Linked DNA regions of Neodiprion lecontei. The protein of the gene in region 3 interacts with the protein of the main gene of each other region in a pairwise test. Links are inferred from orthologs where the notes say so. Each region holds a gene or a part of one and is shown on either strand. Other genes may lie near its edges. The genes, in order: protein phosphatase 1 regulatory subunit 12A, ARF GTPase-activating protein GIT2 and mitogen-activated protein kinase 1.

Region 1 (9,894 bases), on a different chromosome or scaffold from region 3:
GCGATTTCGAGTAAAATCAGCCCTCTCTGTGTTATTGGTAAAAATAAATTCGCCCGCGATTTTCATTTGAAAATAACGAGACCAGCGGAAAGTTCCACGAATTATTTTCTTAGGTCTGCATGGAACTAGTAGATAAAATGACCTTAAAAAATAATAATTATCACATAACTCACGACATTCTTTGAATTCGCACTAAATTCTTCACAAGATTTTTGTTTCTTTCTACTATGCATTCGATCGATGGTTTGACAAATAATTTGTGAACAATGTGATTTCTCAGAATTACGAATGTATAAACAGAATGTCGCAATGAATAAAAAGACTCGAATATTATCATAGTTCTTGGACTCTACCACCATGTAAAGGATCAGGTGCACATGTTGCAAGGGAGATTGTTTTATAACGGGTTAAACTTTAGTTGATCTGTATATATCGTCTTGCATTGCAGCAAATATTGGGAATAATACTTCTTTGTTCATTCACTTGTGTTCGTTTGTGATACATGTATAAAACCAATGTGGGCCTTTGTTGTAAATTAACGTACGATAAACCATTCTTGTACTTCCTATTAATATAGTTTTATTTACAGTTTTTTATAGAGGGTACTATTCATAAGAATTATAAAAGTCATGTGGATCATGTGTCTTGCAATAGTAGTATAGTTGAAACAATCGTTCGATTTATTCAATGTACTTGAAGTTTGATCAATACAATAACGAGCCATGATTTCAAAATTTTGTTCTCTCAAAAATAGGATCTTGATAGTTTTCTGAGCAGTAGATATTTTACATGGTGTTGTAAATACGATGTACTCCTACACAGTTAATTTCGTTAAGAAAAAGATTTTGAGCTATCAGACGATGGCCTACAAATACAAAATTTGTTATCTAGATCTTGTTTAGCATTGTGATTATTAAAAGAATAATTATATACAAAATAGTGATGTTAAAAAGATTCTATCTTTGATTATTAGTACAAGGAAATGTTTTTTCTACTGTTGGAAAGCAATGAGGCAAACACAGATTTTCTGAAATTGCTGATAATGAAGTTAAGAGTATTTTATCAATAAACAAACATTTATTTCTACAAATCTACTTTCATTGGTCATCATTTGTGTCTTTCGAACTTGTCCGATAACATTTATTCACGTTTGAACTTTGTTAACTATAAACATTGTGATCTTCCCTACACTTTACCAACCGACGTTGGTAACAATGAAAAACCAAATGCAAACAGACTCCAATTCCAGTGATATGAAAATAACGAGTGTTGTAAAACTGAGCAAATTTTTTCACGGTTCACAGCAAAAGTCAGCACCTGTGAATCTGTACTTTGAATTATTTTCATTTTGAATTTTTAGGTGAGTAATAAATGAACTGTATTTGAATTTCTTACTCATCTACCTGTATAATTTATCATTTACTTTTAGTCACTTTGTATCTCTATCAAAGTAGATGGTATTTGCGTTGTTGCCATTATGAAGGTAAGTAAATAAACCTTATCAATCCGAACGTTATCTCTCTGTGAAAGTAAGCTACGTAACCGGATTATCACTGCTAGCAACTATCTTTTTTGTCTTGAAAAATAAACGAACAATTATACAAAATAATATGACCTGTCAATGTTTACATAAACTTACAAGCCTGTCGGAGAAAATATGACACTACGCGAATCTAGTGTTATTGGTAAATATGCATTTAAGTAATTAGTGTACACTGGTACCTGCATGCGTTCTTTGCGAATTACACAACAAAGTACAAGACACGTGATGATTCATCATCCATTAAAATTATTTCGTACTGATTGCAGCAGAGATAATACCTGCAGTCATTTATCGCACCATGTATCAGCCAATTGACAAGGTTCACGCAATCGGGGTAAGTAAAGAGTGAAAAAACGTAAGAATACCCGAAATAGCCAACTGGAACTGTCAATTACCACATAAATGTTGAAAAGAACAGCCCCCGTCGCCCACTGAGGACCAACCACCGTGATAACGGTATTTATCGTGGCGAAAATCTCCGTGTGTAAAAACATGCGGAATATTATAGGTGAATGAAATTCCTGTCAGATTAAAAATCATGTATATGACGACGCGATATTTGACGTGACAGAGCTTTCTAAACAGTTTTTTCTCCACAAAATCCAAACGTTCACCGAGGCGACGAACGAGATGAAGACTGAGGCATGCAAGGAGCAGGGCAGAGGAATAAGAGTATATGTATCAGGTGTGTATGAATGTGTGTGTATACATACGTTTGATTAAAGCCTTTGGACTAGATCCAAGTAGCTTCAGAGCGCTATGTGAAAGGCTTCGGACCAATCAAACTCGTGGTTTGAGAAGAAAGCAGGCTGATAGTAGTCTGCTAGTTAGCTCGGAATCTGAATTGAGCAAGCCTTATGCGCTCGGATGTATCCAACGAACTACACGCGATACGTGTAAGAATGCAAACGTCGTGGGGGAACAAACGTCGGTCAAAAGCAGAGAAAAATAAAAGGAGAGTTTAAAAAAAATTATAGTAATGGACAATGTAATCGTAAATGTAAACTCACATTCCATTAAAGGGAAACGATAGTATCCGGTGTTGTAAAGTACTTAACAGGTTTCTATTTACGAACACACTACAACTCACTCCGGATCACTAATCACATAATTTCAATGACACTGTGCCGCCCGATCCACCACCCGTCTACCATTAGGTTTCTACTCGACTGAAGAGAGCAGAGACGTCCAGTGAGACGTCTACCAAAACGTCCAGCTGAAACTGAGCTCTTTAGGTGAGCTGAAGTTGGTTACTGGTGGTGTGCTGGGTTGAGTTCCCTAACCCTACACCAGAGGTGCGTAATTCAACTCGCTATCTCTCTCGCACGCACTGTATTCCATCAGTTATGTTTACACCCACGGTTTAGACCAGTGGTTCACAAAGAACGTATTTCGTAATGCTGGCATGGTCATTGGTCAACTGACATACCGACGTCAATTTCTTATTCTTTTCTATCTGGCGCCTTAAATAAACCCCGTAGTTACGGTAATGCAGGGTATGGACACTTGGTACTCCCCTCACTCGTTATTCGTAAGATCGGGACCAAAGCGATATCGCAACAATGGGGCAAAAGTATAGAGCATAACATTTTTTTCCGTGCCATTCTTGATTTGACAGAGGTCGTCACCACAAATACTGTATTACCAGCTACTTCCGTGATAATATAAAACTAGTTTTAAAACACTCGCTCGCTAAAGCTTGTTCGGGGTCGGACGCCTAGTGTAACTAGTTTTTGTGCTCGTGCGCTCGCTTACTCTTTGTCAGTGTTTTACCAGATGACATAGTTGTCGGGGAGACTGGGGCACGATGACTCCCCAAAAACTTCCGGTTTTTGCTTCACAAGCCGTGTTCGAAAATTGACTGACAGTATTGTCAGCAATCTTTCATCTCTTTTGCGCTTCCAAGTTCGTGGATAGCTCTGACTCTGTCTTAGGGAATTTTCGGTACTGTCAGTCAATTTTCGAACACGGCCTTTATGAACAGCGCTGCTGCTGCGTCAATTACTAGACAAATGTTAGTAATATCTAGTAAGTTACTAAACTGCTGCTGCTTTTTGCTGCCCATGAAATCCCAGCTTTACCGAAAGCACTTGGGGACTCGAGGAGTGTGTTCGAAAATTGACTGACAGTACTGTCAGTACTGAAAATATTATAGTCCAAGTGACCTATACTGTAGATTTTCAGTACTGACAGTACTTTCAGTCAATTTCCGAACACGCCCAATATGTGTGTAAAACCGCCGTACGGTAGGCAACTCAACTGACAGAAAAGAGTAACGAATGTTAAGCTAGACAAGTCTGCCGTGGATAGTTTGTGTTTTGACCACGAATTTGAGGTAGCGCGTGGGTTGTGCGGCCGAGTCATTCCGAGTCGGCCGAGCGATTCCGAGCAGTTCCAAGAATAGCCTAGCACGAGTTTAGAGGTGCCTCGGCGTCGGGCGACCGCTCCCTCCATCTACAGTGGACAGAAATCGTATGGGGGCTGGTAGCGAGCAAGTGAAGTGAGTGTGAGTCGAGAGTGTGGATCAAATAATGTCTCTAGAGACTCGATCAAGTTCGGCTCTTTTCAAGAGGGCCGAACAGTTAAAGCGTTGGGAAACGTCGGAAACAAATCGCGAACCACCCCACCCAAGGCAGATTGATCGTAAGATTAAATTCTCCGCGGACTGTGTGTATTTAGCAGCATGTGCAGCGGGCGACAAGGAGGAGGTGATTCGTTTGTTGCAGAAGGGGGCCGACATCAACACCGGGAACGTAGATGGATTGACAGCCCTCCACCAGGTAATCCGAACCCTGCTCGCCTCCCTTCTTTTCGCCTCCCGTCGCCGTTTCGCGATTTCGGTTCCTGCGGCACAGGAGAATCGTCTATTTAAACCCGGTCAGTCGGGATACTGACGGGTTGGTATATCGTCCCGAGAAAGACGTATGTGTGTCTAAGATGGCCGCGGTTTACTCCAGCTGTCTCCTTAATCGCAAACAACGGCGTTCCGCTTACGTGGATTTCCCTCAATGGAGCCAGATTTCATTCCTCCCTCGACCATCGTTCGTATAACTCAACGATTACCTCGTCCGCTCCGATACTGAGCCTGTTAAATTTAGGAATTCCTTCGAGTGGTCGCCACTGGCACGGTTCGCACACTGAATCCCCCTCCCCCCACCCACCCGCAATCCCTCACTTGCTGTTCACATGTGTGTCTCTCGGTTTGCTCCTGACGTGCGTCAAGTCGGCCGCTCCTCCGTCTCCTCCTCGTCTCTTTACATGCGCTTCTTCATTCCTATTCAATTTTTCGTTTCTGCCAGCTGCACACCTGTGAGGTGTATCGATTGTGCGTTCTGTCACCTGGCCAGTTCCATCGCTTATCGCTTGAAATCGGTGTTACACCTTCTCGTAGCTGACTGTCAACTCTCGTATTGCTAAACATGGCGTACCAAGCTTCTGAGACGATGACCCTTTTCCAGGGCTGCAAAAGCACCGAGTAACCTTATCTAAGTTGTCGACGATAGTTTTAGGCACCTGTTCTTGTCCCAATTCTTTGTTTACTTTGAAAACAGCACACGTCACATTGACTTTTTGACAATATCGCTGACAACAAGTTGAAAAACATTAAAATTCAAAACAACAACGATACAGTGTTTTTAGAAAAGATAATTATCATCTTATCGCTTAAGACGTAGTTCCTATAAGTAAGATAACCGAAATTCTCAACACAGCTGGTAAGCTGAGACGTAATGTGGCAATGAACGAAATTCATTCTTCGAAATTCTAAATGGAAATCATCAGAAGTTACTGATTCTTAATATCAAGTAATTTTCTCTTTGGAAGTCAGGGAAAATATCTGGATTCATTGGTAAGCGTTCATCAGACTTCCAGTATATGGGACACTAGTAATCTGCTATAATTGAATTTCTTCCGTTTTAGATTTTCAGAAAAAAACTCAAATGCATCCGGTGTTTCATCAGTTACTGTAATTTACTTCTATGCTGGGTGCTAGTATGCAACAACGTAGTTTCTTTCGTTAATAATTAGAATTTGAAATTAAATTTTCTTCAGTGTTATCCCATTTTACCCACCGAACGGTAAGCTGAATGCATTACATCGGCTTGTGCCAGTTGGCTATGGGCATGTCAAATCACTCGAATAGTAAGGAACAGAGTAGTTTATACTGTATACGTGGCTTAATGCAATATCTGATGGTATCCAGTAATTAAATTTCTACCGCAGAATATGTTCAATGTTTCTCTTCGACATTTGGTTTTATGAATTTTCTCTTATACGAAAGAAATTTTATCCCTGAAAGAACGGAAATGTAAATAAATATCAACGAACGCATGGCCAAGGATAAATTCTTCCTAATTTGATTTTCATGTTTTTCGTTATCCAGAACAGTTGAAGTGAAATTTTCTTTTTACCTTACTAATATTACACTAAACGTAAAAACTGAGAGATAAAAGACTCATGAACTTGAGCCAGGAATGAACTCGCTGACGTATGCAAAATTGGCCATTCATCATTTATCTTTATAGTTTGGATAATGTATTAGTCGACCTATTCATCGAGTCATTTGCGAGTCGACCTGAAAATAATATATGCCAACTACCGTATCTCGTAATAATGGTAACGAAACATTTGCTGGCGTGATAGAAATATTGATTGATATTCATGCATATAGATAAATTTGAGTTGGAGCAACTTATGTCCATGATATATACATGCACGATATCGTACAGACTAAGAACAGCGAATTAGTTATTCCGTCAAACTTTGTAATGGCCAGTTGAAGAACATGCCAAATAACATAATATATTAATGATATATTGTAATTCAAAGTAAAAACATGCTTGTTTCTCTAACACAATACACTATCCATTGGAGAAGATACATTACCGAAAGTGCAAACTCCTTGTAATTGTACCAGGTCTCAACCAATACCCTTGTGGGAAGTACCTGGTAAATCGAATTGATTGTGAGATGTTAAACCGAATGATATTGAAAAGAGGTTTGTTCTGCAAACATATATCTACGTCGCAATTCCCTCCAGTGGTACTCAGACAAATTTTACAATTATTTGAGCATCCAGAATCGAATAAAAGGTGACTGCGCTTATGAAAGAAAAACGTACACGGAGCTGTAAAATCCAAGATATTGCACAGCGAAACAATGATATGAGAATACACTTGTCCCAACCTTGCTAAATTTCTGCTTCCTCAAGGTTAATTATTTTGAAAATTTATTTTCCTGGTTCTAATGGGCATATCAATTCACTTTCTATTGTGTCAGTTAATGGAGCTAAATATCGTCTCAGAGGAGTTAGAAATTAGGGCTCGGTATTTGGTTTCATCAATGCAGAAAACTCAGTAATGTACGCGTACACATTTTTCAAAGTTCATAAATTTCGGGGTCTTTAACTATTATCGGAGTGCCATAGTGACTGACTATTCCGTGTATTAAAGAAACTGATGCAACGCTTTTTCCTATCATTTTCATACAATATCTTGTTCTACTCTCCTGCTATTTAATCATTGTTGCATGCGTTTGCTCGTTATTTTCTCATCAGATTATCGTTAAAATATATGTACGTGAAATTTTCTACGTAATTTTATTTAATCGCTGCCGACCCGCTTTTCTTCATATTAACTGAATTATCAAAACTTTAAAATCCGTAACAAGGCAATATTAGAATCACACCATTTAACTATACTGCGTTTCTTCTTGATAAGAGAATTGCTCGTTTAGCTATCGATTATTCACGAGGCTGAAGTTAGTAACGTTAATGTAACGAGACATTGGGGGGAAAAATTACCATTTTGCAAGTTTATGGGGACTTAGAAGTATTTAAGTTTTCAAAATATGAATACATTTTGCCTTACTATGATTTACTAAATTTCAGACATTTCTGCTACTGTGAAATAACGATTATACAAAACCTTTATCATTACAATAACGTTACTAATTTCAGCCTCATGATTATTCGTTTTTCTTTTTCTTTCATGTAGTTTCTGAAAATTCTCTCAATTAGAGAAGACAAAATCTGATTGGCTTTACTGAAAATTTTTCGGGTTCCGCTTTTTCGGATAAAGATATAATATTTAGCTAATAAAACTGAGCTTTTCACTGTTGTTGAAAGCAATCTTCCAAATTGTATTCTTATAGTTTCACGATTTCACCATTAAACGGTACATTATTATTTACAATAATATCCTAGTGTAATGTTCGGTCCATAACTTTCACACTGTATAAGTTCCTATCCTTAATGTTTTATCGCAAATTGAACCATTTAAATATCTATATTCGTCATTCACTTTCTATGGATTGTATTCTAATGCTAGGAGTCGCGTTAGTCTAATTAGGTAATTATATTGAAGTTAGTAAGGTTATAGTAACGATTCATACTGAGGAAAAACCGTTATTTGGCGATTTTTGAATTGCCTGAAATTCAGTAATTCTTAATAACACAAAACACTCTTATATTTTGAGATTTTAGTTCCCTCAAAATCATTTTAAAATGAAGAAAATAGTGATTTTTCCCTCACTGTTTCGTTACTATAACGTTACTCACTTCAATCTCGTAATTCAAATGTTTTATGATACGTTACCCTTGTCTAATAAAATTGCACCAATAATCTTGAAAATTACGGTGATTCCTCCATTTTGTCGCGTTATTAACAAGGAATAAACCAAAGTATCGTCCAACGTCCATGTCCATCAATGTGAAAACACTTGAATTCGACGAGACTGAAGTTAGCAACGTTGACGTATCGAAACGTTGAAACAAAAATCACTATTTGCACCTTTAGATTAGCTGAAGAATTTATCAGGCTGAAGTTTGTAACGTTATTCTAATGATGAATCTTTACAAAAATTCATTATTTTGTTACTTGAGTTATTCGTAAGGTGCAAAACCGTAATTTTCGTTTCAACATTTCGATACGGTAACGTTACTTAACTTCAGCCTCGTAAGAATTTGAATTTACAAAATCAGAGTTTGTTCGTACTGTATTGACAGTTTGCTAAATTTCAAGTAATCCTAAATTTGCAAAATAACGACTTTTCCCAAAATCCATCATTACAATAACGTTACAAACTTCAGCCTGATAAAATTCGTGATATTTCCTTTGCTATCCAACGAAGTGCGCAACGGTATCCGTAACTTTCTTTCGCTCTTCATTTATCGCTGGTATAGTCATCGTTCTTTTGTTACTGTGTTCAAGAGCTATCTTGACCTGCATTTCAATGTTCTTATCACCCCAAAGATTTTTGCGGATCAACTTCTTGTTGGCAATGACAGAGAAAGAACAGGAAGAAATAATTTACGAATCCGCTGTTTTGGCACGGTCCAAATCGCAGCCTCACTCACTCATCCATTGTTCGCGGTCATTATTATTCATCATCAACAAACCCCTTTCATATTTTTTCTTTTTATCTTCGACTGGCAAGTAATACTCAAACTTGAATTGCAATATGCAAACTATTTCAACGCGCTGCCAATTGGCGCAGCAACGAATATGAACCGTTTACGCTTTCCGTTCAGCGATACGGATACACGTTCAAGCACGAGTATAACTGACAGTAAAGTGTTGGTAGTGACGACCGGCAACCGGCGTAACGTTACACTAAGATTAGACAGAGAGTTTGGCCCTCTTGCGAAACATGTATTATAAAGTACACCGGAATTCGTTCCGAAAACTGCGAACAACTGACTTCAACTAATCGATATTCGCTGGATACTCATTGTTTTCCCTTTATAAAAATTCCCTTAGAAATCGTTTATTTTCACAACATTCTTTCAAAATTAACACTTTCGTGCATACATTTTTCCTTATATGCGATTCACTTGAAATTTTGCATGCATCATGGCCTTTTGGGCTCGCAGATTACGAATCTGAACTCGAAATTCGAAAATTCAAAATGGCGGATCTAATATGGCGGACAAACAAAAACAACAAGAAGAAAGATGTTTTTTGGTGTATATTAAGTATGTGTAAAAATTGGCGTTTGGATTTTTTGTGCTAAATTAGCAGAAAATTCTTTTTTTCCCGGAAAAGTACGAATTTCGACCATTTGTTAACATGTGCTATTTTTGCAATAAATAAATAAAGAAAGTTTGTATTTTGTTTTTTTAGTCTTAATAATATTTCTGGTACCACGTGGAACCAAAAAACTCGAGAGTTGTTGGCAAAAAAGTAGTTTGATAAATAAAAAGCTGCAAAAAAAAAACCGGCCCGAATTAAAAGCTTAATAAATATTCATATAATGATGCGTTTTGCGTATGCTTTTACGTATTCCTGAGTTCGTGGATCGTAACTTGAAATGTAGAAAAGTTTAATATGTCTTCATCAACAAATTTCAGGATA
Region 2 (12,565 bases), on a different chromosome or scaffold from region 3:
AAAACTTCCATAACCTTCCGTTCGTGGTTTTCAAATCTACACATGCCGCTACAATATCTGATTGCGTTGTGCGCAAATGGCGTGCGCAGCTTTGCATTTTAGTTCCTAACCAATAGGAATGCCAATAAAATAGGTAATTCGCATGCAGCGTGCACTTGGTGGCGTTGGTTCCCTGCTTCACCGGCATTCCTATTGGCCAAGAACTTGGCACCGTAACAACTCAGCCTATGGTTATATTCCCTTCCCATTCTACGGGCATCGGATTAGGTTAGGTTAGGTGAGGTTTGAATTCTGAACGGTTGCAGCTGGTGTAAATTACATATATATTGTATAAATGAGCAGATCAGTAGGAATGGTTTAATCAACGAGAAGAACAATGTCAGTACAAAATATGACAATGAATCTATCGAACAATGCTCGATGTTACACATCAAGTGAGTATAACGTATTCAATACTAGAATATATTTTTTAAACGTAAAATAATCGAACTAGTTCACCGACGTTAATCTGTTTTGTTTCCTCTCATTGAGCGTCGGAAATAATTATGGAACCTTTTTCAGAATCCAGCGGCAAAAAATATCCAATATTTAGTATCCGTGACCTTGTGCCAGGTCACACTGGACCGGAAACATCTGAAGCTGCTATGGCTCAAATAGCCAAACCTCGATCGGTGGGTTTAAAATTCAGGAAATTTTAAATGTTAACAGAATCCATTTTTATAAAGTCAATTTTGCTGAAATATCCAGAGTAAGAGTTAATAATATACAATTTTTTACTTTCAAAGCTGACTATCAAATAGATGCGTAGGTTATAGATTTTCCATGTTTGTTTTTGTTCTTATTTTCTGTCACGTTCAAGTATGTTTTCAATTTCATGTTATGGTGTAGATAATGACGAGAAATAATTGAATAGATGGTGTTTATAGTTCGAATTCTATATTTGGACTGTCTGCTATATACATTCCAGAGTCCCATCGACCTTTGACTTGCGGCTCACTTACACTTTGCGAATGCTCTAGACACACTCTTATACATGTACACTACAAATGTAATATTAACAGAATTGACTGTCGAGAGTTAATAGTTACAACTGTATATTTTGTTATTAATACACAGGAGAGAAAATGCCAACCAGTGAGAATATCTATGGCTTATTTCAATGATCCATCGGACCGCAGAAATACTGGATCAAGTCGCAAAACTCCTGGTCAGTATTGCTCGATAGAACGTTTCATATCTAGCTGGTACAGATAAATAAATATTCAATGCAGAGAAGTTTGTTCAGTTTTTAAAATTTCTTTTCAACTTGCATACATGGATTCTTGGAGGTCTCATTTTTTTCCTTTTCCTTTTATAAAAATTGTAGCTTACCTTACATTCTTGTACCGTACCAAATGACTAAGACTGGTAATGGTAACAAGTTTCCTTACTTCTGCAGGTCGACCATTGCCGCAACCAATTCGTAATATTCATAAGCTGTTTGAATCACCCAAAAACAATGCCAGAAAGAGACTCGATAGTTTATACGATTCTTCGAAACGAAATGAAAATTTAAATCATTTAAAAAGAAAAAGTCGACTTCTGATTGGTAACAAAATTGTGCCAAGGTTACCTGATAGCATCGCAGCACGTGAAGCAGAGCCCACTCGAAAACCGAGCACAGTTAATCCTAACGGAAATTTGAGATGCAGCAGACTATTACCACCGGGATCCATAACGAGTTCTTTTATTAATAAGCGAAATTCAACGGCAGTAAGATCTTCGATTTATAAACCTGTAAACCATGTCCTTGTTGATCAGAAAAATGTGCAAAGTGGAAGACCTTCGAATGTTCCAGAAGAGTCGTCGTTAATTTCTGAGACACATGATGAAAACTTGTCCATCAAACCAAGTACTACATCATTAATAAATTTTTCTGCTAATCAAATTGAAGATGCAAAAAAGGATTCAATTCACTCAGTTTCGACGCCCAGTTCTCCCAAGCAAAATCAGAAATCTACTAAGTGCTGCAACTGTTCACAGCTCGTAGTCGATTCTAATACAGTTGTGAACATTTCTACTTTAACAGATAAAAATATTAAAGATTCACAAAACACCCTACGTATCGTTCAGCCAGATTCAGATGTTGAAAAAGCTGCATGTCATCGGCCTACAGTAATTGTCATGCAAAAGGAAGTAGCTTCTCAAGCCCAAACAAATTTTGATGTCGGCGTGGAACTAGAAGATAGTGTATTTGTACAGGATGGATCATATTCAGAAGTTTTAAGCCTACAACCACCTGCGAATTCTGTTAAATCTGAGGAATCGACGACTTTCCAACGTATAAAAAATGCTACTGAAGAAAATCGTGATGCTGAACTGACTGAGTTTACGTCTCATTTGATAGATATGAAGAATGAGGTGCTCGTTTTCAAACAAAAACAATTAATAGATGAAATATCCCACCATGAGAAATATTTAGCAAACCTTAAATTGGAGTTGAAAAATGTGAATATAGACTTGGATAATCAAAAAATCCGAGCGTCCAATTTGAAGTTGGAAGGTTGGAGAAGTTTGAGTAATGAAGATATGGCTTTTTTGGTATATCAATACAATGGGAATACTAACGAGCGTTTTGATAGGCGTTTGAATGCCCAAGAATTGTCTGTGTCTGATAATAATGGAAATCGTTTAAAAAACACCCAGGAATATCATCAACAAACTGCTGAGACTGCTGAGCTGAGAAAATCGTCAAGTAACGAAAAGCTCCAGTCAGATAAAGACAAAAATGATGATTTATCAAAACACGAATCTACCAACTTGGCTGTGAATATCGATAAAACAGAAAATATTGAAAACGAACCACCTACCAGGAGACGATCCGTTAGGTTAGCGATGAAAAATGCTAATCAGTCCTTGCCTGTCAGCCACAGTACACCTGTGATAAAAAACGGGAAATTTGCAGCTTCCCAATCTAACAATCAGTCCAAGCCACCCTGTACGCCAAACATAACTACCACTCCTGGGCAAAGCAATGCTTGGAAGAAAAAGAACGCCCGATCATTGCGGGAATACATGGTTCTAAAATCAGCTAATAAATTTTTAAATACACCAGACGTCCAGCGCTATCGAATGGGATCGGATGAAAAGGTCAAGATTCAGGATACAAGTAGTATGGTAAACGATGGATTACTTTTAACAGATAAATTATTATCCGAACTTCATGACTTGCATGCTACACCTCAAAAATTTTACCCATAAGTACGTGTAGTAATGCATAAACTGTATTTGTATAATTAATAACTGTACAATTTAATGTTATTTTTTGTAAATTATAATTGCAACGTATTTATTGTAATCGTCTTTCTACCCATTGATCTTAATTTGGAGGAATAAACGAATTTTTAAAATATCTGTACAGATCTATAAATTGTCGTGTATGTATATGCAGAAATAGTACCACAAACTTCCTTCGGTAGTATTCCAACAATTGAGTTGATAAAACGTACATCTTTCGAACGAAGTCGATTGCGCAACAATAGATTCGACTGGTCGAAGATACGACGGTTTAGATATATCGACACAACGCATATGAGGATGTTTGCATGTGTATGGTGGTAAATAATTAATGAAAAGTGTAATGGCGTCTTTGAGCAGTGTTTTTATTTGTCATCAACAATTACTTAGACGTTAATTGTTGCTATTTAGGTATGTAGAAAAAGTCATGCTTCCGATTGAAGGATGGATTTTTGACGTCTCGCGTATTCAGCGTTAACTTCAGAGGTGTTACCCGGGAGGCTAAAGGGTGGACATAGATAAAATAATGGCGCGACCAAAGCATCGAGGAAGTGTGGATACTTGTGCCGACTGTGGAGCTCCTGGTAACTGCATCATTTTTATTTATATCTCAATCATCTTACCCAATTAGTTACTTATTTACTTAGGCGTTATGTCATCTCACCGCTTGATACGCGCATTTTTTCTGTCTCTCTCGCATTCATTTATTTCTAAAAATTTCACTTTCATTTTTATCCTAAACAACAAACAACAAGTATTTATCTCACCTCGTTTCATGAGGTTAGAAATACTCTCCGGTCGCTGATGAAAACTTGTCAAATGATTTTTATTTCCTGACATTACTCTCTTACATTTTGTACTGTCAATATTTACCGATTTATTGACACTTACCGATGTGTGCGTAAATCCGATATAGTTTTTTCTTTACTTCAATATTATTGCCATACTTTCAATTTTTCAAAAAATTATACGTTTACTTTGATGTTCTTTTTTGTTTTGTTATACAACTAGAACCGGGATGGGCATCTTTGAACAGGGCTATCCTATTGTGCGACGAATGCTGCAGTATTCATCGCAGTCTAGGACGCCATGTATCGCATATCAAGTCTCTTCATAAGGGAATTTGGAGCACATACTTGCTTTCGGTCAGTGATAACGAGCGTTACAGTACCAGTTTTTGTTTGATCTTTTTAAGCATTGTACGTATGATAATGTTCATTTCAACAGATGGTACGTACCCTGAATAACAATGGTGCTAATAGCATTTGGGAACATTCCTTGTTGGATCCAAGCAACTCCAAGATTAGCAGACGAAAACCTCAACCCAAAGATCTGTTACAGTAAGTTGAGGTGGTTTAAACATTATTGACATCGTTATAATATGATTCACTTTATAAATAGAATGACGCAACTCTCTGTCAAGCATCTTATTATTTCTATAAAACCTGAATAATTTTTATTCTTTGTCAAGACAATACCGAGATTTCAAATCCTTTGCCTATTTACATATATTCAAATTTACGCAGCCCAGTGAAAGCGGATTTCATCAAGGCAAAACATCAGCAACTGGCATTTATCCTGCGACCTAGTAAAGAGGAAATTTGTAGCGAGGAAGAACTTAGTAGACAGCTTCACAGCAGCGTTCGTACTGCTAATCTAGAAACTTCCCTTCGCTTATTGGCTCAGGGTGCTAATCCAAACTACTTTTATCAAGTACGACATATTTACATTGCATAGAGAGTAGGAACTTTGATGAACCATTACCTTTAAATCGACTCGGTCACTGTTAATGAATTAAAAAAAAGATACTGATCAGATAATGCAATTCTTAGGAGAAAGGAACCACGCCATTACATGTCGCTGCTAAGGCAGGACAGGCGTTACAGTTGGAACTCCTCATAGCTAATGGCGGCAACCCAAGTACAATGGATTCTAATGGCCAAACAGCTGCTGAACATGCCAAGTATGTCTGCTTGTTTTTTTTTCCACTTTCATAACGAAACGACAACTATCTCACTCACCGTTCATATCATAAGTGATAAAAAGTTAGCTGCTGAATTATATTCTATATTATTATTCAGGATGGCTGGACACCTGGATCTAGCCGAACGAATCATTGAAAGTATGTACGAAGTTACAGACAGATTAACTTATCATGTATGCGCTCGTAAACCGGATCACCGACTAGGACAACACCTTATTATACCTCAATGGGGTACAACGGAGAGAAATGAAATGACTATTCAAGCTAGAAATAAGTTACAAATGGTAAGCAACTCCATCAAATTTATTCATCAATTAGGAATTTTGTGAAATGCATTATAACAATGTCACTTTAATGGTAATACAAAATTTGATGCTTCTAATTTGTGCGTTTCAGTTACCAAACCATTTGTTGGAAGAGCTTGCCATGGACGTTTACGATGAGGTAGATCGTCGGGAGACAGAAGCTAGTGAGTAAAATTATGTTTGAACTAGTTTTAAATAGTGTATCGCTAAGTTTTCATCATAGTCAATAATTTCAAACACGTTATCCACGATTCAAGACTATGTTTCTATAAGCTATAACAATAGCAATAGGCCAAAATGATTTATTGATTATATTGCGATCATAGCTGTACCTTTTGCCATAAAAAATAGAGCATATTTTTTACTATGCTGTTTACCTAAAACGCAAAACAGCTATTCTCATTCATTTACTCATTATTAATGCGCATGAATTTTTTATTTTGCCAATCATAAGGAGAGGTGAGTTAAATACGATTTGAATTTTATCTATGAAATTTAGTTTAGGTATTAGTTTTTTTAATTATACTGGTAGTTGGGGTGGCAACTTGCATCAGATCAAGTCATTATAGATGCTTATGGAATACTGTGTTTACTTGCAATTAGTATGTTCTATAATTTAGCAGATACTAGACGTGTAAGTATATTCTTGTTATAATCACCATACTACAAAACTTTGCTACTGTAGCAACTTAAATTTCAATTTTTCAGACTTTGCATCAGTAGGTTTACAGTATATTCCTTACATGCACATAAAATTAGCTCCATACACAGTTTTCCATTAAGATGAACCCAAATTTTTATGGTTTGCATCACTTATTTACATTTTTTATCTATCTTTAATCTTCATCGTAGTTTGGATGTCCAACGCATCTTTGCCAGAGAGATGCACAGTCCCTTTCTTGCCGGTAAACCCGCAGTTATCGTCGACAAGGAATCAGGGTAGACAAAAGCTTGCGCGGTTCACTGTTCAAGAGTTTGCAATTTTAATCATCGATCTTCTTACCGAGGCCAAGCAGAGACATATGCTTACTAACAGTACTCCTCCACAAGGTTTGTAAAAGCTTGAAAAATTCCCGTAATCGTATAATCGGTGATGTAAAATTTTATCTTGATTTTTAATACAGATCCTGCAGTTTCATTGCTTCGCAAAGAGCAGACCTTTGGCAATCATGCATCACAAGTATCAGACGATGAGCCTTTATATGACAGCGTGGCTTCCGATGACGACTATGCTGCTCTTACAGTGGTCAATGCTTCTGCCCAGACGTCTGTTCCCAATTTGGATGACGAGGTATTTAAACATAATATAAGACATGATTGCAATCGTTAAGCACACTTATACATTCCACATGTACACAGTTCGCAGTGAAAGAATTGATTCGAAATTAGTTGATTATTATTATATTTACATTCCCGATTACCTGTAACTCATTTCGATTGATGAACCTGTAGTCTTCTTACTTCGATAAAGTGTTATTTTCGAAGCAGTCGTTGTACTTACTTCGGAATTACTCAAGTTCTGATAAATTTCATCAATTATCTCTATGTGAAACACAAAAAAAAAAAAACTTATTAAAGGTGGCTGAAGTAGTAGGAAAACAACGAATACGGAATCGACTGAGCACGTGGCTCTTCTGCAGGCAGTGTTACTAGGCAAGTGCCACAGATCTGTGTTCGTGCATGCACAGCTGTTGCGAAAATTTTCTGATCATTTAATCCTAATCCACATTCTAATCAGATACGTAAATGAGTACATGCTGAGTTTAATAAATCTTAGCTCGTCGCCTGCAAGGATTCATGTTGCCCTAACACAGTTTCTAATCGTAATACACTTGTCAAACTTAATCAGTGTGGTTGTAAAATTTCCTTCATACGTATATGATTATGGAAACGCAATGTTCTTATTTAGAAAGCTCTCGCTCCAATGGCCAAGGGCTTACCGTCTGTGGTCGAAGTTCTGAAGAAGCAACTAACCCTCTCCGATTCAACAATTCGTGACCTACGCAATGAAATACGTTCTCTTCAGTCCACCGTCGAAAGATTATCGCAAGAAAACTGTGAGCTACGAAATATGATTCAGGTGAATTACAAAAGTCGGTTGAAATCGATCACAAGATTCGAAAGTAGAAGGCTTACCAAATTTGTTTATCATGATTAAATATTATTAATCAATCTCATCATACATGCACGACGTTCAATAAACTGTGTTCGCATTTTGAAAGTGGATAATATATTTCTTGCTACAGGCACCTCTCAAATCGAGACTTCAAGAAGATGCTGTGGTTAATGGACACGTGGTTGGTGAGCGAGAACTGGGATCAGAACCAATCCTAGATGTAAAAACCCTGACACCTCGAGGTAGTCAAAGACCGGCATCAATGTACGAAACCAGAGAAGGTCTTCGCAAGTCTTCCCCGTGGTCTACGGCTAATAATCAAGTATGCATGAGAGGATTTTCATTAGTAGATTATGGGAATCGGAACTTTGTCACAACGATGTAATTTTCACCACAAAACTTGTTGATGAATCTAGGCAAAACGGGAGGTTGAAGCATTACCGCGGCCAAATACAACCCAAAGTCTGTGGGACTGTGGTACTGTGAGTCTTCCCCCTAGCGAGGAAGTAACTAGAAGAACAGAACAAGTCACAAGACGTATTCAAGAGTTGTGGATGGCTATGCAGGAACCCAGTTGCAGAGAAGCTTTCGTACCTTGCGCTGAAAAAATTCGCGTAGCAGTTGCTGAGTTGACCGCAATATTTCCACCGGCTAGTATTTGGTCTTTATCTGATTTTAATCATGGTTGTGTCTGATACTATAATTTCAACACTTTTTCTGTAGAATCCAATGGAGGATAACGTAAGATCGGCATTACGTCAATTAAATGGTAATACAGGTAGACTTCAAGCGGAATGCGCAGGACTACAAAGGTGCACAAGTGATACAGACCACATGGATCGGTGTCTTCAACAAGTACGCTCGTGCGCTTACGACATAGCTAAAGCCACAAAACTTCTGGTCACTCAATTTCAGGTATGTTGATACTGAATTAGGTTAATTTCTATAAAACTTATCAAAGGTAAATCAAGATAGGAAGTTGTGCAATTCTCGAAAATTTGTTGTAGCGAACGTTTGTTTATAGCTGCATTAGGTAAATCACTACTGATAATAATATCCATATGCTCATGAAATTTGTAATATACGTATACAGCTTATCGGTTTGTGAATAACTTTTGTTCTCAACGCTTGAATGGTTAATCATACTTACATTTCACAAATCAAATTAACAAAGTATACGATTTCTGTATCATATATCATGCGAGTAACGTAACGTCATCTTTTTCATAGTTTAAAAGTCTATTCGATGTAGGTCATTTCTATTTTAATCATTAATATCAATTATAAAGACTGAATCTATTTAGAGCCTGGAATTCGGTTTACCGATTAGTGTAAATTTTGAAAGAAAAAGATATTGCCAAATCGTATTTAGTTCAAATCCAAAACTTATGCGCAACCTTAAAATTCAAGTAAAATCTTTTCAAACTTAATATGTACGTAATAATAACATGGTATATTAAGAAAAGACTGCAATAATAAGCATATAAAATAGTTCACAAGTTTAAATAGTTATGTTACATCTAGCAAGCTAGATAACTAACAAATTCTTAAGACAAATATATAGTTCAATACAGTTACGTATCAATTTCTTCCATCTAAGCTATATTCTTTCCACTTTTATCTGTGTTATTTTCATCGATCTTTTATATTCAACTCATAATTCGATAGTCGTTGCAATTTCTTCATCTTTACATATACCTGCGTTTTTATTTTGAAGTACACGAGTTTTGACATTTTTTTCGAATCATTGAATGCAACTTGTTTCCAATGTGAATTATCTTCATTCTTTGAATAGAAATATTTCTTCAATCAATTTTTCATCAAGGCATCGTTAATTTTTTTTACGCGACCTTTTACGTCATTTAAATTATTTAATGAGCGATAAGAAAAAAGAGGAATGTGCCTGGATATACAAAGATATTTATTGCATTTATTCATGCTTTTAACAATTGTATTTAATGTGCAGCTGAAGAATCCATTTAAAAAATATTTAGTGTACCGTTAAACAGAATCCTGATGCATTGCTTCAGATTCAAATTTTTATATAGAATATATTAAAGATAAAAAGTGTTCCGTATTAAATACAATTAAGGAAATATTTTTATTATTAAAATATACATAATCATATACATCTATATATATATACATATATATAAATAACGTTTTTCAGTATCAATAAAAGAATGCTATTGGTGCTTTATATTACACAATGTTTAGTTAATTGATGTGGCTTCAGAGGATGCGAACTGACGTAGGCTTAGTAATATTATGCATCCCCTTTGCCATTGGAATTTTACTGGTTGTCTAATGAAATAATTATTGAACGTGTTGAAATTTATTGTTTAGAATATTTGCGATTTTTAGAAGTAATTTTTCATTTAATATTAAATTTATTTAATAATGAAGAAAATACAATATACAACATCTGTATAGCTAATTTTATAATATTATTATTGTACTACATCGACAAGAGTAATATTAAGTATTTATCCTCATTGAAATTTTGAATGAGTTGACAAATTACATATAAATACATACTATATACATATATTTACTGATTAACAAAATTATTACATGAGAGTTTTCATTCAACGTTCGTTAATCCTCTACATTTAAGCTTACCTCTCAAAGCTAATATATTTAATACAACTTCTATCAAAATTGTACATCCACACGTCAATCAGCTTCGTTTACGCTGCTGAAAAGTAATGACAGTAGACATGAACCAAAAGATGGAAAAAGATACTAGAATGTTGTTGCCGTTGGTTCGTAATAAAAGAAAAACAATTGTCAGATTTCATATTTTGTTTGAAACGATTTATTCATTTTTTATGCGAAACTTTATTCTGCGACTTACTGACGCAATGAGTGTATAATCTCTTATTTTAAATACTGATACACGATACAAATATAGTTTTAATTTCTAAAAACTACAAAAATGTCGGCAGGAGAAGTGATGAAAGAGCTTCTGCAACCTATCATACATACGTACCCGTTATGCAAGGTACGTTTTAGGATAACATGAAAGAGAGAAACACGTGCTCATTCCCTGATGTCAAAATAGATGATAGTTTTCACGACATGAAATTCTAAAATATTTTCTTTTCACTTTCAATTTAACTTCTAATTTTCTACAGACAACCGATATGCCAGAAGAAATGAAACAGGAGGCGTTAGAGTTGTGCACAACGGCGGCAGAAAAATATGCTGATAATTATGAACATGCTGCTAAAATGATCAAAGAAAGTCTTGATAAAAAATTTAGTCCTCCGTTTCAAGTTGTAGTTGGCGAGGCTTACGGTTTTTCTGTAACTCATCAAGAAAAAACTTTACTCTACATGTACACAGGTGGCAATCTTGCTGCTCTGATTTGGAGGACGGTCACTGGCTTTTCCTAACTTGTTTAAAATCTATTATTGGGTTTATTTTTTTATCTTTACTCATACGAATAAGCGCGTTAATAATACAAACGGAGATCTGGAAAATTTTATTTACATCTATACAAAAACAAAATCGTACCAGCTTGATTATTTAGAACGCATTTATATTGTTGTGTCGCAGCGTTAAAAACTTGTTATACAAATAAGTTTATCGGTTTTGAAGGTATTGATAGAATTAATTCAACTAAAAATCGAGTTTGAATCAAATACAGTGTCTCAAATTTGTTGAATATATTTTCAATCAGGCCACAAATATTGTTACATCTCATGTATGTATTTATAATGAGACAATTTCCGGTATTATACATAAATATTATTGCAATCTTATTATAATCATAAATTATGAAACTGGTGTTCTGACCATTCGTATCTCCTATTTGAAATTTCAGTGGACGCAAATCAAAGGCGGTACTAGATTTGGGATATTAACTAATATTACACAAGTGTAGTCTTTTTCATTTAACTGTATTTTTATAATTCTCAATAATTGACTAGATCTGATGTTTCTCGAACTTTATCATATTCCTCACATGTGTATTTACATACTCACAGAAATTTAAATCAAAGATTCAGAATCAAATTCCATAGAGTCTGTTTGTACTTATACTATTATTAATCAGTCATTCGAACATCGATTTATCGTCAATTTTTATAGTAAAGATTATCGATCGTAAAAATTTTCCAAACCACGATATTGCAACATATAAAGTACCTATATGAAAACCAATTAAGATCGGTATTAATCTGTTGAAAAAATAGGAACGAGAATATTTATAATCTATAGTGAAACCATTTACACGAATGACAACGTCAATACATCTTTAAATATATTGCCAATACTCATCTCACAGAGTTAGCACATTTAGAAACATTTTTTATCAATTGCTTGTGATTAGGATAGTGAAGTAGCTTTTTTGTCTAGCTGATAGCATTAGTATACCGTTATCAAAATAGACTTTAATGTTATGGCTACGCGGATTTCCATATACAAATAGCTAAATTTCCTGCGCAATACATGTACAGAAGGTGTTTTAGCTGATAGGTAATCTCGAATCCGTATCCTTCACCCACTACCGTGTGCCAGGATGCTCCAAATTTTTTGTCCATCGTTTCCTTAATCATTTTCGAAGCACTCTCGTAATTATCCGCGTACTTCTCGGCTGCCGTTACGCATAACTCCATCGCTTCCTGTTTCATCTCGTCGCTCATGTCACATTTCTGTTGGAACAAACAATAAACAACAAAAATAAAAATACAAGAATGCCCCATTAACTTCAATTTCCACTGAAAATGTTTATTTATTGAACGACTGTGAAAATTAAATTTGAATTCAATATTATACACTTGATTCTAAGTTCATTTGTTAATCTTAATTTCTAATTACACAAAAAGATGCAAAGATATTGCATCAAAATTAGAGAAGAAATCAATTGCTCGAATACAT
Region 3 (9,585 bases):
ATGTATACATCTTTCATTTGTTCCATACTTGGTGCTCTTAGTATATCCCGTATATCTATAATCTGAAAAGGAATTATTATCAATTAGTCTGACATATACCTATGAGACAGATATGAATTCAGAATAATATTTTTTGGTATAATATTTGAAACCTGCATTACAATTACTGCTCGTTGCAAGCAAATACAGATTAAGGTAAGTATTGCAAGTATTCTATTTCAGACTTCAAAATGTATCAAGGATATTGAGTTTTCATTAATTTTATTTTTACTTTCAGTTTCTTTTTTTTCAAGTATGTGTTTTGTCAAAATTCTATGATTCATTGAGTAATATGAAATCGCATACTTGTTTAACTTCTTGAGAGTAATTAAGGATTTCATATGGGTGATACAAACCGCATGTTGTCTCAATTTTTATACAGAATTATGCTGCACTTTGAGTAAAATAAGTGATACTATACTTCTTGTCAAACTTGTTGCAAAAAACAGAGTGATATTCAAAGTCTGTAAGGAATTGGTTATCATTTTGCTCTCACACAATAAATATTAGGTCTATATAAAAATTTCTTACATTCTCATGCTTGAACCTGGTGAGAATTTTTATTTCCCTCAAAGTCCTCTGGCTGTAAGTTTGATGCTCGAAGGGAGATATTTTCTTGATAGCTACTTTAGTTTTTGTTACATTGTCGTACGCAGATCTGCAAAAAATAAATTATAAAAACAAATTAATACCAATATTTTTTTTTATAATTATAATAATTATCGATATATGCATCACGCCATTCAACATTCATCTCATTGTTTGGTAAACATATGATGTTTCTGCTGTTCAAATTGAAACAGGGTGCCTAGTGTCAATGACATATCAAATTCCCTGAAATTCCCTGGTTTTTCCAGACGTATGCAAATTTCCTAATAGTTTCCGGTTTTCCAGATGTCCCTGACAGCTAGACACTTTGTGAAATCGGCATTGACTACTTAAGTGAAATGACACAAAAAATCCTCATATAATCGTTTCTATTCATTTAATACACCATATCTGGGTAGTTGATATCATTGAAAGTCTGTACACTGGAAATGTAACATAGATCATCAAGGATTGTCCATATATTACATGGTAATAGTCTTGCAGTTTCTTTATCTCAACCCACCCAACTCTTTGACAACAAATAAATAAACTACCATGCCAACAAACATACTACTCTTTGTCTAATCTCATGGGCTCAACACAGAAAATAATTCAGGCAACTTTTAGTATTAGAATACTTGAGGCCTCAAGTATTTCCATAGAACTGACAAGGTACCTTGCTCCAATTCGACCGGCTGGTATCTTATCACCGGTCGAGTTTAGGCAACAACTACGTAAGTCATTTTTTATGCAAAATTTGATGCCCAATCAGAGGCCAATAAAAAAGATATACTATCCCATCTAAAAATAACTAAGTTGACCTTCATCTGACCTTGATGGTTTCAATTGCAAAAAATCTGATACCTTTCTTTTCTTACCCCTTCAAACCTTGAATATTTTCTATGAAACGATTTTTGATTTGTTGCTTAGTTTTGGGGTAATTGACCTGAGGCAATTAAAAAGAAACACCCTTTAGTAAATTCTCCAAAGTATAATTAAAGAAACTACAGTTAACGACCTAACAGGCTCAGCTTTTTTTTAAAATTATAATCTATTATTTAAATTTCGTACAGATATAATCTGATAAATGATACAGTAATAGAACTAATTTTCGATTATAAAACTCCCTGACTTTCACACGTTTAAAATTGTAATTATCTAGATACCGATTGTGTAGTTTACGATTAATGCAATGAACGAAGAAATTTAATCAATCATTTTAAATTATATTTCATTTGGGTTCCATTTCTGTACTGAACTCGGATTTCAATTTTTCATCAGTTCTCGCTTACACAACTATGCCAAGCGTTACACTACAACCGTAACGTTTGGAATAATATAAAAGTTTGATTTTGAAATTTCAGTTTTTCCATAAATCGTCAGGATTCTTTGGCTATATCTTGGTTTTTTTTAGGAAAACAAAAATCTCCGAAGATTCCAGACTTTTCTGGTTTGCAGGTATAATGAAAACCCTGCATGACAATACATTGTAGTACCGCACGATAAGGGTAGTAGTGAATTTCATGTTTCAAATGTAAATGGATGAAACTTCTTTTATCTAGAACATTTCAAAATGAAGCTGAAGCTAGCAGCCAAACCTTAGTGAGTAGTTTTGGAATTAGAAAAATACAGTTCAATTTTATGCTCATAATTCTATAAAAGTACTGGGGGTTCAGGGTATTTCACAAAATTTTGATTTTCGGACTTCACCACTACCTTATTCGAATTAACATTAGCACATTTGGCTGCTAACTCTCACTACTAGCTTCAGCCTTGTCATTTCAAATCATTGCACGCACAATGAATGTACAATCCACAGTCTTTAAAGGAAAACTGGTTGCTATTAGTCGTGTGGTTTTATGGTCACCTTATCTTCTAACATTATTTCTTAGTAATTACGTAATAAATAATTCGAAGTGGATACGTCTCTTGAAATACTGAATTTCGCACACAAAATAATTCAAAATATGTTCTTGAGACACATGTGACAGGAAAAACTGGGGATTTTCCAACATTGAAATTATTAAAGATAACACAATGAACATTGAACAAAAAATTACAATTACAAAACTTCAAAATAACTGTAACGGAGTTGAATTTGCAATATAGAAGTATAGTCTATTTTTGGATAATTCTTAAGTTGAAAATAACGACATTTTCTAAAATTACATTACGTTAATATTTTCCTCCACTTTGCAGATGAAATGTCAGGATTTCAATGAACGATACATATATAAATGCAAAATGAAACTAAAAAGAAACGTTTTCAATCTGTTTTCTACACCAGATGGAGTCTGATTAAAAACTTTCTCTCTCCAATGGAAACTGGTAAAACTGCTCACTACGATATATGACTAGTTGTTTAAATTAGTAACATTAAAGTAAAAAATTTGGAAAAACCACTATTTTATAATTTTAGAGTGAAAGAAGATTTTGGACGTTAGTAACTTTAAGCACGTTACATGCCTGACAACTAACAAAATCGTTCTTTGCATACGAACAAGTGACGTATTAAGAATCGCTCTCTGTTAACATGTGTAAAAATCCTTCATGTTTTTCACGAGTTTTCCACTTTTAAGAAAATTTCATGATACATTTACTGAATTTTACGAATAATGCAATAACGATTTCAGCCACTGCAAAAACTGTATCTGAAGTTTTGATCAGTCAAGCTTGATATTTTTTTCATATATATACGGTTATGAACAAAAATTTTTATATTAAGATTTGGTATTGAAATTCAAAAATCTAGTCACAAACTCGAATCGATAAACAAAATTTACAGATTGTGTCAAAATTTCCAGTCATTCAGATAAAAATTGACCGAGGAATCTGCACCACCGTATTGAAAACGTGGTCGCTCGCTACTTATAGGCGCCATGCTACCATTTTGCTATTAATTTCAATGAAAAAATTCAACCATGTTCTTGAAACTACAAATAATAACGTCCTGAAACTCAAGTTGCTCTGTTTTCATTTTCTTTAAACAGAAACTCCTAAAAATAGGTATGATTTTAGACCGTTCAAGCTGTACCACGATGTACCACCCTCTTAATGTAACAATGTATTTTTGAAAATTGTTATTTCACAATGTTAGGGTTGTCTGAAATTTAGAAAATCATAAAAACAAAACAGTATAATACTTTGAGAACCTTAACTTATTAATTTCATTAATCACATACAAAAATCTGTATGATTACTGCTTGACTGCCTAGAATGACGCAGCTTCTGCACTGTTATTGTACATCATGACCAAGTAACATAACCTCTAGTTTAATGTTTAATGTCAAATATCTTTCCAAAATTTCCAGCAACTCGATGTGTGTTCATTGTGTTTAGAATCATCGTCAATTGTATTATAATCACCATGTTTTTGAGGGGCAGTTCCTAAATATTTATGCATAGAAATTATCCAAAACTTCGAAGGTAAGTGTCATAACGCTCTGTGTTAAAAATTCGAATTTTCAAAACGTTTCTCATACTTATTTGCTAGACAATTGACCCCGAAATTTTGCATGTGTCAAGTTGGATTCTTCAACTTTTACATATTTAAAGGTTGTATATTTCTTGGAGAGGTGAATTGATAAAGGAGAGGCGGATTCGTAGTCAATATATCACTGACTACGCAAAACATCTGAAAAATGTAGACTTGGAAAAAGAAGTACGAGGCAGTCGAATCAAGGTCTCACTAAACTTGAGCGTGGCGTAACCTGCAGAAATGAAGGAAAGGGGTGTGACAGGAATTTGAATGTGGCGCCAATTAAAGGCAATCAGCAGCTGGCGTAAAGGTGTGGTTCGTAAAACGTACATAGAATGAAAAAATTGCCGAGTATTCTCGTATGAGCTGACGTGTTATCATTATAATCGAATCGTTAACATGTCTCGGCTAGTAAGAGCTCGAATTGTTTATCTTATCGCCTGTCACAATGCTGGTCAATGCATATGATGAAATTGCCATTTTTGCCATGAAAATATTGCCTGTGAAACTTACACAACCATTCCGTAAGCTCCTTCTCCCATATACGACAAATTAGTATATCGCGGACCAACTTCGAACACTTGTCCCCGAATAATTTCTGCATTTGGATTTATGCAAGCCGAACCTTCGCCCGCCATTTTGACAACTACTTTGCGGCTCGTGAGCTCTTCAATGCTCGAGCCATAGATCAAGGCCATAGATACCCAGGCTAGAGAGAAGTGGGACAAACTTGGCATTCGAGTGAGATGCAGCGTCGTTATGAGCGTTTGCATAGGAACGCTCCAATCAGGGAATATTAAACTACATAAAAGATCATTGCTATTTTCTGTCTCTCTTGCTCTATAGCATTATTGCCAAGTTCTGTCTCGCTCCTAGGGAATTTTCAGTTTCAGCGCTGGGAGCTCCTTTTTCAACACTTCCAGGTGACTTCGGGCACTTCGAGCAAAATAACCCCGAAGTTATCCAAGTGTATTTAGCGGTGCATGATTTTCTCACTTTGATACCTGGATAATATTCGTTATTAAAGAATATTTGAACTATTAACATGAACGCGCCACCGACCTTCGAATCGTTTCTCTTGTATGATGGAGAGAAAAAGTAAGCATTTTCTGAGACCATTTTCCTCAAGCTCAGGTTTTAGGTTAATATAAACAAACTATTCACCTGTCAGTGTCCTAAGTCAAGATCTAAATGTTTTACCGCACTTTAAGATAGTGTATTTTGCATTCCATTGGTTTCTCCCAGTTCACCAATGCTGTATTCGGAGGAATATCTTGCTTTAACCATTGGAATTAGACTTGGAAAAAGAGTAGCTTTATTAGAATTATGTTTGATTCATACATGAGTTTTGACAGTAAATTCAGTCTCTTTTACTGCATCGCTACAGACTTGAGCAATTTTCATATCTCGATGATGTTCGAAGAGCACAAACCATATACCCGTTAATATTGCCATAAATTGCTGATACCCTCGGAAGGATGGTATAGCCATGATGTTTTGATGGTAGAGGTATACCTTATTGTCACTTGATATCTAACCCTCCGAATATTCCGAATAGCCTCAGTATTCTTTTCAGCCAAGAGAGTGAATTTTCTGGGGCGATAATGATTACTTCTAACAATTAGAATTCTTTTTGCAGAATCATCAAGGAACAAGATTCAAAAGTACCCAATGCAGCAATATTCACAGTCAATAAGGAAGATCATACCCTGGGAAACATGATTCGAAAGTATTTATCACATAGTTATGTTTTAAAAACTACACTTTGTCAGGACAACAATATGTTGTGCCAACATCACTTTGAGTGATAGCAATTGATTTTTTGAAATAGGGAACAGTTGACAGTGATATAATTAAGGAGTGTTCTTACCGTCTCTTTCAATTTAGTTGAAACTTGCGACCTTGTCATAACAAATAAGTTTATTAATGTCTATGCTTTTATTTTAGTCAATTGTTAAAGGATCCTCAAGTTTTGTTTGCTGGATACAAATTGCCGCACCCGTTGGAGCATAAATTTGTGATCCGTATTCAAACAACATCCGATTATACGCCTCATGAAGCATTTATGCATGCCATAACTGACCTCATTGCAGAACTGTCACTGTTTGAAGAACGTTTCAAGGTAGGTTTAATTTTTTGAAGGATAACGATTAGTCACAATGAAAATATCTATCCCCTTTGTTGACAAACGCAAAAGTATGGGGTGGATAGAAAACAAAACATGAAACATATTCAGTGATGAGTAAATCCTATGCTATATACAAGAGTAGTTCAAGCAAATAAATTTTTTTTTTCAGTTCTGCTTCCTCATAAAACTGTTGTTTTTGGTGAAAAACTAATTCCCTGCAAGTTTCAGCTCTATCGGATAAGATTTAGAGGTCTCGCTTGAAATAACACGTCAAAAAATTCTTACTTTAATTCACCGTCAATTTTTCGTAAAAATCTAGCCGAAAATGAAAAATAAAAAAATCTTATATCTTCTCTCAATTTAATAACATTATGTCGAATTTTTCAATTTTTTCGGATTCAAATCACAATAATTCGCAAAATATCTAAAATTGAATAAAATATCTGATGAATATTGAGTTTAATAAACAAATCACTGTTTACGGTAGATTGGAACTTTTTTGTGCCTTGTTTTTAGGTGGTGCAAAACCGCTAGCATTAGATAGTCTGAATCAGTCTGAAATTGAAATCACTAACACCTAAAGCCGATTCACCTCGTATCTTTGCCACACGCTTTTAATATTTTTGTCTTCTGCAATTTGGGACTTTCATTACTGTCATCAAATTCTGGCTTATATAAAATAATCCCATTTCAAAATCACTTGCCCAAAAAACATCTGAATTACAAATTGTGTTAGAGGCAACTGTTCAAAGGTCAAATATTTAATTAGAGCACAATTGGTAGGCCTGAACCATATATTGAACATATTTGAAAAAAAATGACCAGCCTTCCCGAGACCAGGTTTACAAAATGAAAGCTTCATGAGAAAATTATTAATGCTTACTGAAGTTGAGGGTCAGTTGCATTCAACCATTTATTAAAAACACTTTGTATAATATGATATCAAATTGCCACTCGTCATTTTAATCTACTTGTATTTTTAGATTATACTAAAGCAAACTATGTTATACCGAATGAATATTCTCCATACATTACAGTACATAAATAATATTGTTTCAGGAAGCTATAAAGGAAAAGAAGGATGGCTTGGACTAAATAAATCTACAGAATTATCTTCATTCCCTTCTTTTTATAGAAGTAATATGTATATTTTGTTTTGTTACTATATTTCGATAGGCGAATAATAAATGATAACAATTTTTGCTAAAAGAGTTAATGTTTCATCTCAAGCTAATATATATTGCGACTTTGTAAATGAAATGTGCACTAAGATCTATTCGACATTACACCAAAAAGTACAATTTTTGCTATACTTTTACTAATTGATTTTATATTTGACACTGATTCTACGCTTGGGTATAGTGGCCTTACTAATTGAATTTAATATTGAACTGGCTCTCCGAGCTTGATTAAAATCCGTGTATATAGGACACCATCTCTTATGCTCCTGTACAATTTTGGTTGACAGATTTATTACATTGAGTCCACGGTTGAACTAATTCGTGTCTTGGTTTTTACCTTATATGGTCTGCTTTGCGTATCCCAGCTAACAGCTAACTTGCTTCTAAAGCGTGCCTCACTAGGTTTATGATGTTTGATGTTAAATGTATTTTGGCTTGTGGCCCCATGTATGTTTAATATCATTTCTGTAATCGGAATATTTTTGTATTTAGGTAATTTTATGATTAAACAATTGAATAATGTAAAAATTTTGTGACAAAAGATGGCACAGGTGTGCAAAACTGAACACGTATTCAGGGTGTATTAAGTACAGTTATCTAAGGCAATGTTCTACGGGGCTGCTTTACCTTAGGAATTGATTCTTAAGATTCAATTATTCAAGGTAAAACAATATTAACTAATAAGCGTTTCATCTATGATCGAATATATCCCTCAAGACTTCGCAATGTCACCAGCGCTGTGCACCATTTCTGAGAACTTAGCGGCATAGCATCGTATTGATGGTGGTAAAGCACAGCTCGATCTGAATTACCCCTAGCAAAGTTTGTTATTGTATTGCATTGAATATATTCTACTTGGTTCAACAATTCTTAAGTTGTCTACCCGATTTTGAAATGAGTTATTAGATATCATAATAGTAATAGTGCAATTAACAATGCTTAAAGGTATGAATATCTGAATATTAGTAAGGATAGTTTGATTTGCAATGCAAGCAGATAGTAATTCAACGTAAGCAATTGGTATTCGTGTTATGAATACTTTGAGGTATTAAAATATGAGTGGACAATATCTGATTATTAAAATTCCAGCCTTATAATATAGAGAAATAATATTCGTTGATACACGTGTGTGTGTGTGTGCAAGCTTGGATATGAAGTAGATGTTCATAGAGATACATATAGGCTGCTAGCTTGATGCCGCTTTTCGTAATCGAAAATGGCAAGAGATATATTCATCGTCAACTGGCGATCTCTGCGTCCTGCCCTATACGCGCAACTCAATCCAGCAAGCGGTAAGTATTATAGAGGCGACACGAATTGATGTTACCATCCATCGCTCACCGCGTGAACTCAGAGAATGCTACAGAATGACGAACGGCAACAGAATCAAATTTTCATATAACTCCTGTATGGACAACGTATGCTTTTCAACTACGCAAATTCATTGGGGCTAAATTCAGCACTGTCAATATAATTCCATCGGATCGACAAAAATAATGTTATCTACATAGATGCATAATAAATATGAACCTGGTTTACTGTTAAAAGAGTTAGAAACCTTTTCTGAGGATGAAAATATACAGTTGTTCCTTCTGTAATTTGGGAACATATGTTTAATACTGAACTCATACCTTTAACTGAAGATGATAATATGTATCTTCAATCAGCACTGAAATCTTCGTTCCCAAAAAAGATACAACTGACACAAAAAAATAATTTCTCAACTAATGTTACATTGCCGTGGTTTTTTACGAATTCTCGTAATACAAAAAGTTCAAGAAAGAAATACTGAGAAAGCTGTGCCGGAAAGGCAATTGAAATTGAACTAATTTCTCCGAAAAGTCGACTTGTTCAATGAGTAGCGAGTAAAACTTTTGAATTTAATTCAACGATTTTACTGTGTAGACTATAAAAGGTCAAGCGTGGGAGAATGATGTTGGAATTGACAAACTCTAAATTGCCAAAGGTATGTGCACCTTGTTGACTTTAATTAAGAAACGAAATTTATCAAACAGATAAATGTATTTGCGTGGAAATCACTGTCTAAACTAGAGAAATCTGAAGGTATTACGATTCCTCATTATCGAAGCATGAGTTTTATTGACAATGATTTAAATTTACACTAGTATAAAATTATCATTTGAGAAACTACAATATGTTAGTATTTGACC

The links.
Region 1: the proteins of mitogen-activated protein kinase 1 (region 3) and protein phosphatase 1 regulatory subunit 12A interact in a two-hybrid assay, tested with the Caenorhabditis elegans proteins (3 studies listed by BioGRID). The link is inferred for Neodiprion lecontei from reciprocal best matches to the Caenorhabditis elegans genes mpk-1 and mel-11.
Region 2: the proteins of mitogen-activated protein kinase 1 (region 3) and ARF GTPase-activating protein GIT2 interact in a two-hybrid assay, tested with the Caenorhabditis elegans proteins (3 studies listed by BioGRID). The link is inferred for Neodiprion lecontei from reciprocal best matches to the Caenorhabditis elegans genes mpk-1 and git-1.

What each region holds. Positions count from the first base shown.
Region 1 is NC_060261.1:7,034,620-7,044,513, reverse strand, and holds the start of protein phosphatase 1 regulatory subunit 12A, read left to right. Parts: upstream 1-3,920; 5' UTR 3,921-4,074; coding exon 4,075-4,323; intron 4,324-9,894.
Region 2 is NC_060264.1:4,182,322-4,194,886, forward strand, and holds ARF GTPase-activating protein GIT2, read left to right. Parts: upstream 1-3,572; 5' UTR 3,573-3,802; coding exon 3,803-3,860; intron 3,861-4,287; coding exon 4,288-4,421; intron 4,422-4,503; coding exon 4,504-4,616; intron 4,617-4,802; coding exon 4,803-4,989; intron 4,990-5,108; coding exon 5,109-5,239; intron 5,240-5,357; coding exon 5,358-5,544; intron 5,545-5,656; coding exon 5,657-5,729; intron 5,730-6,417; coding exon 6,418-6,615; intron 6,616-6,689; coding exon 6,690-6,856; intron 6,857-7,474; coding exon 7,475-7,645; intron 7,646-7,811; coding exon 7,812-8,003; intron 8,004-8,097; coding exon 8,098-8,331; intron 8,332-8,404; coding exon 8,405-8,605; 3' UTR 8,606-10,619; coding exon of another isoform or gene 10,620-10,685; 3' UTR 10,686-10,818; downstream 10,819-12,565. Other genes in the region: uncharacterized protein LOC107227510, read left to right, coding at 377-434, 562-671, 1,117-1,207, 1,439-3,240; dynein axonemal light chain 4-like, read left to right, coding at 10,620-10,685, 10,819-11,079; dynein axonemal light chain 4, read right to left, coding at 12,091-12,339.
Region 3 is NC_060262.1:23,225,547-23,235,131, reverse strand, and holds the start of mitogen-activated protein kinase 1, read right to left. Parts: upstream 4,833-9,585; 5' UTR 4,804-4,832; coding exon 4,619-4,803; intron 4,129-4,618; exon of another isoform or gene 4,110-4,128; intron 698-4,109; coding exon 571-697; intron 63-570; coding exon 1-62. Other genes in the region: DNA-directed RNA polymerase II subunit RPB11, read left to right, coding at 5,151-5,203, 5,745-5,834, 6,053-6,227, 7,293-7,328. UniProt on the Caenorhabditis elegans protein: Functions in let-60 Ras signaling pathway; acts downstream of lin-45 raf kinase, but before the lin-1 gene product in controlling vulval cell differentiation. Plays a negative role in proximal germline proliferation in the mitotic zone.